2 linked regions of the Canis lupus familiaris genome follow. The protein of the gene in region 1 purifies or fractionates together with the protein of each later gene. This does not show direct contact. Links are inferred from orthologs where the notes say so. Each region holds a gene or a part of one and is shown on either strand. Other genes may lie near its edges.

Evidence for each region. Proteins that work in one complex are often made in the same cells at the same time.
Region 2: the proteins of REL (region 1) and TNIP2 purify together in Homo sapiens (affinity purification with mass spectrometry; 3 studies listed by BioGRID and IntAct, counting the BioPlex papers as one, with this or other methods). This does not show direct contact. The link is inferred for Canis lupus familiaris from reciprocal best matches to the Homo sapiens genes REL and TNIP2.

What each region holds. Positions count from the first base shown.
Region 1 is NC_049231.1:62,276,135-62,280,307, forward strand, and holds the start of REL (proto-oncogene c-Rel), read left to right. Parts: upstream 1-1,373; 5' UTR 1,374-1,580; coding exon 1,581-1,590; intron 1,591-1,706; exon of another isoform or gene 1,707-1,836; intron 1,837-4,173. UniProt on the Homo sapiens protein: Proto-oncogene that may play a role in differentiation and lymphopoiesis.
Region 2 is NC_049224.1:62,041,770-62,045,734, reverse strand, and holds the start of TNIP2 (TNFAIP3-interacting protein 2), read right to left. Parts: upstream 2,801-3,965; coding exon 2,513-2,800; intron 2,382-2,512; exon of another isoform or gene 2,229-2,381; intron 1-2,228. UniProt on the Homo sapiens protein: Inhibits NF-kappa-B activation by blocking the interaction of RIPK1 with its downstream effector NEMO/IKBKG.

The DNA.
Region 1 (4,173 bases):
CCCCCTTCCCCGTGGGAATCTATCCCCCTCCCCCTTCCCCGTGGGAATCTATCGCCCTCCCCCTCCCCTTTCCCCGTGGGAGTCTATCCCCCTCCCCCCTTCCCCGTGGGAGTCTATCCCCTCCCCACCCCCTTCCCCGTGGGAGTCTATCCCCCTCCCCCCTTCCCCGTGGGAGTCTATCCCCTCCCCACCCCCTTCCCCGTGGGAGTCTATCCCCTCCCCACCCCCTTCCCCGTGGGAGTCTATCCCCCTCCCCCCTTCCCCGTGGGAGTCTATCCCCTCCCCACCCCCTTCCCCGTGGGAGTCTATCCCCTCCCCACCCCCTTCCCCGTGGGAGTCTATCCCCCCCCCCCCCCTTCCCCGTGGGAGTCTATCCCCTCCCCACCCCCTTCCCCGTGGGAGTCTATCCCCTCCCCACCCCCTTCCCCGTGGGAGTCTATCCCCCTCCCCCCCCTTCCCCGTGGGAGTCTATCCCCTCCCCACCCCCTTCCCCGTGGGAGTCTATCCCCTTCCCCGTGGGAGTCTATCCGTCAGATCCCGGACGGCGTCTCCTTCACCAAGCACAGCGCGTACGAGGCACCCAACTCGCAGGGCGGCTCTTCCAGAGCCTCAAGAGCTGCCGCAGGTGAAGCAGACAGAACCTCCGCCGGCGGAGGCAGAATGGGGGCGGGGGGCGATCCGGCGGCGGGGGTCCCCAAATGCAAATCTGCGCATCACAGAAGAACAGAGGCGACGCCGCGGCTTCCGCACTTCCCCGCCAGGGCTCACCGGGACGTCCGCGCGGCGCGGGGGCGGAGATTTGCATGTACGAAATTGGGAAGAGGGGGAACCACCCATTGAAAACCCCGGCCCGCCGCCCCCCCCCCCCCGCCTCGCGCCCGCTCTCCTCCCTCCCCGCGCCCCCCCGCGCCGCCGCCCCGGGAGAGCCGCCCCCCCCGCCGCCCGGCCCGCCCCCCCGCTCCCAGCGGCCGGCCCCCCGGCACGTCAGCGCACCCTCCCACCCGCTCCTGAACTTTAAGCCACGCGCCTCCGAACCACCTGGAGGAGGGGGATTTCTCCGCAGCCGGCGGCTTTCGCACGCTCGGGACCGTCACCGCCCGGCTCCCGGCGTCCCCCGCGCTCCCGAAGCTCCCGCCTCCCCCCGCGGCCCCGACCCAGTCGCGGAGCCCCCCGGGCCGCAGGGGGCGTGGCGGGGCGCGCGGAGGGGGCGGGGCGTGCGCGCGGCGGGCGGGCGGGGGGGCCGGGGGGGCCTACGTCAGTCGCGGGAAATTCCCCTCCCGCCGGGCGGCCTCAGCCTCCGGGCCGCGGCGGGCGCTCGGCTGTCGCGGCGCTCCGCCCCCTGCGCCTGGCTCCCGCACGCCGGACGGGCGCAGCCGGCGATCCCGGACGCGAGCGCTCAGGGGGTGGGAGGGTGTGAGCCGCAAAGCCCCGAGGAGGGCGGGAAGGAGGAGGAGGCCCCGGGGGTGGTCAGGGGCACCGGGGGGCCCGCCGGCAGAGTCCCTCGGCCGCCGGACCGACGCGGGCTGCTCGTGCGGCCTCGGGTCTGGACGCTTGGAGCGGGCGGCGCGGCGAGCGGAGCCATGGCCTCGGGTGAGTGTCCGCGGCGCGGGTCCGAGCTTTCGGGGCGGCGGGGGGCGCGGCGGTCTCGGGGCGCGCGGGCGCCCCTGCCCTTGGGTCGCCTCGGCCCGCGCGTCGTCGGCCTCGGGAGGGCGGCCCGGCTTGCGTGCGAGATGCGAGTCCCGGGCGGTGACCCGAGGCCGTTAGGATGCGTCCCGGCGCCCTGATGGTTTAGGGTCAGAGCAGTTACCGGGAACCTCACGCCGGGAGGACCGAGAGGTCACGTATTGCAAAATGGGTTTTTATTTGAATTGCTCAGGCTTTAGGTCTTAGAACAGGAGTGAAGACCTCAGGAGGGAGTGCTCTGCCTTTTCTTCTATTTCTTCTTTTCTTTTCTTTTTCCTTTTCTTTTCTTTTCTTTTTTCTTCTTCTTTCTTTTCTTTCTTTTCAATTTCATCAAGTGCCAGCCGGTGATCGCTGATGTGCTGACAGTGGCACCGAGTGGCACCGAGAGGCTCGGTTAGGAGCCCCCCCCGGGGGTGCCCTACCTGGTCCTAAAGGTTGTTTCAACCGAGTGGATGATTTCCACTTTAAAGCGGGTACTTTCTGGTTTACGGAGACGTTATCTTTTTTTTTTTTTTTTTTAATTTCTTCGTTGGAAGGCAGGGGAGTGTCCGGGCTTTCAAATAGGAGTTAGCAATGAAAACTTTGCATCACTCAGGTAACAATTTATTTTCCGTTTATAGATAGATGCGTAGATCTCTTGCTTTGGGGGCAGGGGGAGTGGACGACGAGTTTACCCAGAAAAAAAAAAGTTGGAGGGCAGAGGAGGGAGCCTCCTGTTATTGTTATTATTATTATTATTATATGATATGCAGCCGGGGTTTAGATCTGCCTGTAACCTAGAGGGAAGTAAATCCAGCGGGCTCTGCTCGAGGTGGCCTTGGAGAGGATTCTGGCAAGGTTCATGGGGCGGTTTCGAGGCAGGGAGGCCTTACAATAGAGCTCAGCGCTGGGCCAGGAGGCTGAAGGGGGGGGGCTTGTTTATGCTTCCTCCGCGCCCTCCCAAGACCCTGGCTTGGTGACCCTCGGAGGCTGGTGTCTGGAGAAGAGGAAGTAGAAAGCTTTTTTTTTTTTTTTTTTTTTTTTTAAAAGAAGATTGAGCAGAACAATGCCATTAGCTGCTGCTGCAGGCCGAAAAGGAAATTGGGGTGGTTCACATGACATTTGATTTCGGTTTGTCTGTGGTTTTTATGTGAGAATACAAGTTTAAAATATTTCAACTTTCTCTTTACCCACTTCAGTGACCCCAAACTTTCAGATAATTTTGTCAATTTATCATTTAAAAGCACGTTGAGATGAAGAGGGTGAAGAGGGCAAAGATGATCTGAGATATTTGGCTGATTTATTGGTTGACAGAGATTTTTTTTGTATGAGAGTCAGAGAGAACGGTGAGCATTATAAGTAAAAAAAAAAAGAAAAGAAAAGTCTGACTGCTGGCAAGTTAACCAAACTTCGTTAATATGTGGCACGAGTGTAATACCTGTGATTCTTTTAAAAGAACCATTTACATAGAGGGTAAGGTAAGACCCCCCCCACCCGCCCCCGCCCCCATCATTCAGCGATGTGATACAATTTAAATTTGTTGAATGGCACTGTATTTTGTGCTATTGTGAGGACTGATTTCCTAAATTGAAGGGGAAAGAATTTAAAGGAATGAAAAGTCGTAGGATCATTATCTTTTTTTTTTTCTTTCCTTTTCTGGAGTTGCATTAGAATGGGAGTATTTAATATGACAAGTTATTTAAATTGTAATTCAGTTGTATGAAAACTGCCAAAGAAATTTTAAAAAAGGAGTCTGGGTGTATTGTTTTTAATCACTTGTAAAGGCCTTAGAGAAAAAGACTCATCAGTAAATTATAAATTCTTTTCCTGTTTTGAAACAGTAGTTAAACCGAAAGAGTAATAGGAAAAAAACTTTGCTTAATTAGTTATCGTTGCCTAGCTTAGATTACTTGTAGTAAGGTAGTATTAAAACCTCAAAAAATATTTTTATTGATTACCAGGCACTTAAGACCATTTCTTCTTTTCTTACCGGATGTCATATGTAAATAGGTATGTGTAGCTGAATATGTTATCTGTAGAATGTAAAAGTTAACAGATCAGAGGCTCATTAGCAAAATTATTTAAGTATCATGAGTAACTGGAAATTTAATATATATGTGTGTATATATCATATGTATGTAAGTATGATTCTAAATTTTGTTTAGGTAAATTATCAAATTAATTATTTAGGGTTTCACAGACCGGGGTCTATTAAGCTCTCTTTACTGCCTTTTTTTTTTTTTTTTAACACTTTGATTTCTGTCTTTTGACACAATTAATTAGAACAGGTATTGTTAACAAAAATGTTCCCTGTCTCATGTAGGGAATGGGTAGGCAGTCATTACTCTATTATATTTATAATTCTGTATTGTTTAATGTAAGTAAAATTAGCTATTTTATGTCTGAATTAAAGCTCGTCCTTGTGCCAGTACAAAGTGCAAAGTGTTCTTAGGCACACATAGTTCTGTTTACTAATCAGTAGTACTGTCTTTGGTAAAATATGTTTTAAAA
Region 2 (3,965 bases), on another chromosome or scaffold:
TTCATAACCAACATTCAACATACACACCCCAGACTCAACACAGACAGAACACTTCTCAGAAACCAACATGGACACACAACCCTCAGAACACAATACTGGCATACACAACCCTTAGAAAAAACATGGATATACAACCACCGGACCCAACACAGGCACAGCGCAGGAATATACATCCCTCAGAACCAACATAAACACACAAGCCTCTGACCCAGACAGGCACACAAACTCCTCAGTAGCCAACACAGGCAAACACACCTCACAAACCCACATGGGTGCAAACTCCTTGATGCCACCACAGACACACTACTCAGAACCAAAACAGACATCGTGGTACTCTCTGACCCAACATGGGCGTACACACCCCTCACAACAAACATGGGAGTATAACACTCTGAAGCCAACATGCATGCACAGACCTCAGAACTGACACAAACACCTCAGACCTAAAATGGACACACACACCACTGAGAAGCCACTGAGGTACACATCTCCTTCGGAACCCAACATAAACACAACCCCTTAGAACCTAGGCAGGCACATTATCTCTCAAGTCAACTCAGACACAAACCTGAAGAACCAACATGGGCACATAACCCTTAGACCTGACACAGGTACACATGCCCCACAGAACCCAAGAGGCACACACACTCCTCAGAACCAACACAGACACACGACACTCTCAGCCAGCCAGGAAGCACATCCTTCAAAACCTGACACATGCACACACCCCTCAAAACCCAGGACGAGAGCACACTTCTCAGAATCAACACAAATACACATCCTTCATATGCAACATAGAGACATGTCAGAAACAACAAGCACAAAAAAAGAAGAAGAAAAAGAAGAAGAAGAAGAAGAAGCAGCAGCAGCAGCAGCAGCAGCAGCAGCAAGGACAGACAGCCCTTTAAAACCAAATGGAGGGATCCCTGGGTGGCGCAGCGGTTTGGCGCCTGCCTTTGGCCCAGGGCGCGATCCTGGAGACCCGGGATCGAATCCCACATTGGGCTTCCGGTGCATGGAGCCTGCTTCTCCCTCTGCCTATGTCTCTGCCTCTCTCTCTTTCTCTCTCTGTGACTATCATAAATAAATAAAAAATAAATAAATAAATAAATAAAACCAAATGGAGGGACACCTGGGTGGCTCAACGGGTTAGCGTCTGCCTTCCGCTGAGGGCATGATCCCAGGGTTCCGGGATCGAGTTCCATGTTGGGCTCCCTGCATGGAGCCTGCTTCTCCCTCTGCCTGTGTCTCTGCCTCTGTCTCTGTGTGTCTCTCATGAATAAATAAGTTCTTTAAAAAATAAATAAATAAATAAATAACCAAACGGAACCCAACCCTCAGACCTAATATGGGAGCACACCCCTCAGAATCAACACAAACACGCACCCCTCAGACCCAACAGAGGAGCTCACACCTCAGAGCCTAACATACACAAACACCCCTCCCACAAAATCCAGACACATACCCCCTAGCCCTCAGATCCCAATGTGAGTATCATACGCCTCGACCCAACACGGGAACACACACCTTCAGACCAACAAGGACTCACAACCCTTAACATGAGCACGCCCCTCTGACCCAACACAGGATACACTCCTCAGAATCTAACACACTCACATACCCTCAGAATCAACAGGAACACACAACCCTCAGACCAAACCAAGCATACACTAACTCCTCAAAACCCGACGGGGGCTTACACACCTCAAAACCAAAAGACGTACAACCCTAATGCCCAACAGCGCTTCATATACACCCCTCAGAACCCGCAGAGTCACACAACAGGTAAGCCTGACACAACCTTCAAATATAAATGGGCACACAGTCCTTGACACAACCTGGAGCACACCCCTCAGAACATAACACACACACACAACCCTCAGAGCCAACCGGCACAAACACCCCTCATACACAACCACCCTCAGGTCCAATGGGACACAAATCCCTCGAACCCAGAATGGGCACAAACGCACAGACGCAACACCGGGGTGCACCCTCACCTGAGGGCTGGCAACACCGCCCCCAAACCTTAGACCCCGAAGCGCCACCAAGGACGCACAACCCTCACACCCGTCAGAAGCACGCTAGAGCGGAGTCCCGACGGGCAGGAGGAGCTGTCCCCCTCCCGCTCCTCCCCGTCGCACACCCGACAGGGGCAGCGGGACGGCAGCGCCCAGGACGGCGGGCTTCTGTCCAAGGAGCCGCCCCTCCTCGCTCGGCGGCCTCACCTACTGCAATTCTCTGCTCCTCCCGAATAAACCTAGTTTTGCTGGGAAACGACTGGCAGCCTCAGCTTTAAGGGGAAGGCGTCCGCGTGCGTCCTCAGAACCGACAGGCTGACGCGGGAGCGCCCGGGGAGCTGCGCGGCGGCCCCGACAGCCCTCCGGGCCGGCCCGCCGCCCTCGCTCTCGAGCCCGGGGCACCGCTGCAGACCTCTCAGAGCCTCCCCGGGGCTCGCCCCGTCAGTCCCCGCCGCTCGCCCCGGAAGCGCGCTCGCCCGCCGCGGCCGCACCTGGCGCAGCGCCGCCTCGCCGGCGCCGCCCTCCCGCTGCCGGAGCTGCTCCCGGAAGCGCGCCACCTGCTCCAGCAGCGCGTCCACGAGCGAGGGCGCCGCGTCCCCCTCGAGCGCGGCCAGGCGGGCGCGGAGGCGCTCTATGAGGGCATCCCGGGCGGCCAGCTGGTCCTGCAGGCGCCGCAGTCGCTGCCCGGCCTCGTGGTACAGGCCGCAGAGCGCCGCCGCCGCCGCCGCCGCGCGCGCCGCCCCCTCCTGCCCCCCAGACCCGGCGCCCCCTGAGGCCATGGCCGTGGGCCTGGACCGCCGTCCGCGGGTGCCGCCGACTTCCGCGCCCGGGCTGGGCGGGCGCCGCACCTTCCCGGAACTTTTCCCGGCGCGCCCCGCCCACCGCCGAGAGCCCCGCCCCGCACACAGCGACCGGCGTGGCCCGGGACCCGCGGAAAGGCCGTCCCAGACCCTCCGCCAGCCCGGCCCCGCCCCCACCGCCGCCCGGCCCCGCCCATGGCGACCGCGTGGCCCCGCCCCCTGCCGCCAGCCCGGCCCCGCCCCTCCGCAGGCCCCAGCTTTGTGACCCGGTGGTCCTCCTCTGAGTGGCAGGCTTGTCCCAGAGGCCCGGTTCCCTCCTCCTCCAACGTCGGGGGAGTTTTCAAGGAGTCAGCGGAGAGGAGAAGCGAGGGTAAAAGCCGCCTCTATGCAGCCGCTGATAGGAGGGAAAGAAGGGAGTCAAGGGCGACCTCCAGTGCTGGACCCGTGCGCCGGTCGCATCCGCGACCTGCAGGCCAGGCTGGCCACGCCGAGCAACTTGAGCAGGGCAAGGTTCCAAGAGCGGAGCCCCGGGGGGTGCTCCCTCCCAGCTGCAGGGCAGTGGCGCGGAGCAGGGCGCTGCCCCGAGCCCGAGCCCCGCTCCAAGGTATTCTTAGAGCAGAAGGCGGAGGGAACTGCCCTGCTCTACCCTCACCTTCCCATCTCTTTTCTTCCCACAACTGCCCAGACCAACCACCAGTGTGTTTCACTCTGTTTTCTTTTTCAGAATCTGCTTTCGCCCACGGTCACACCAAGCACAGCCGTGGCCTTTCAAAGGTCACCCTGCCCTGGTGTGTGCGCCTTCCCGTCTTCCACCTTGTCCCCCTCTGGTTTTCCCCTTTGTGCAGTCCACTGCCAAGGTTGGGCTGGGCCCAGGAAACACCCTGCAGGCTTGTAATCAAGTCTCATACAAGTGTATGAGCAAAGGCAGCTCAGGCTTCCTCCTCTGCAGAGGGAAGATCAGGGCCAGTACCCTCCCTCCTGGGTGGGGTTGTGGGGCCTAGAAGAGGAGGTGCACATGTCCTACACAGTGTAAGTCCACAATCCCTGGCCATGGCTATGGATGAACCGTTTTGTTTGGCTGAGGCAGTGGTAAAGACAGAAATGGCTCGGTCCCACAGCTGATTGAGGTGGGATGGTCCTCATT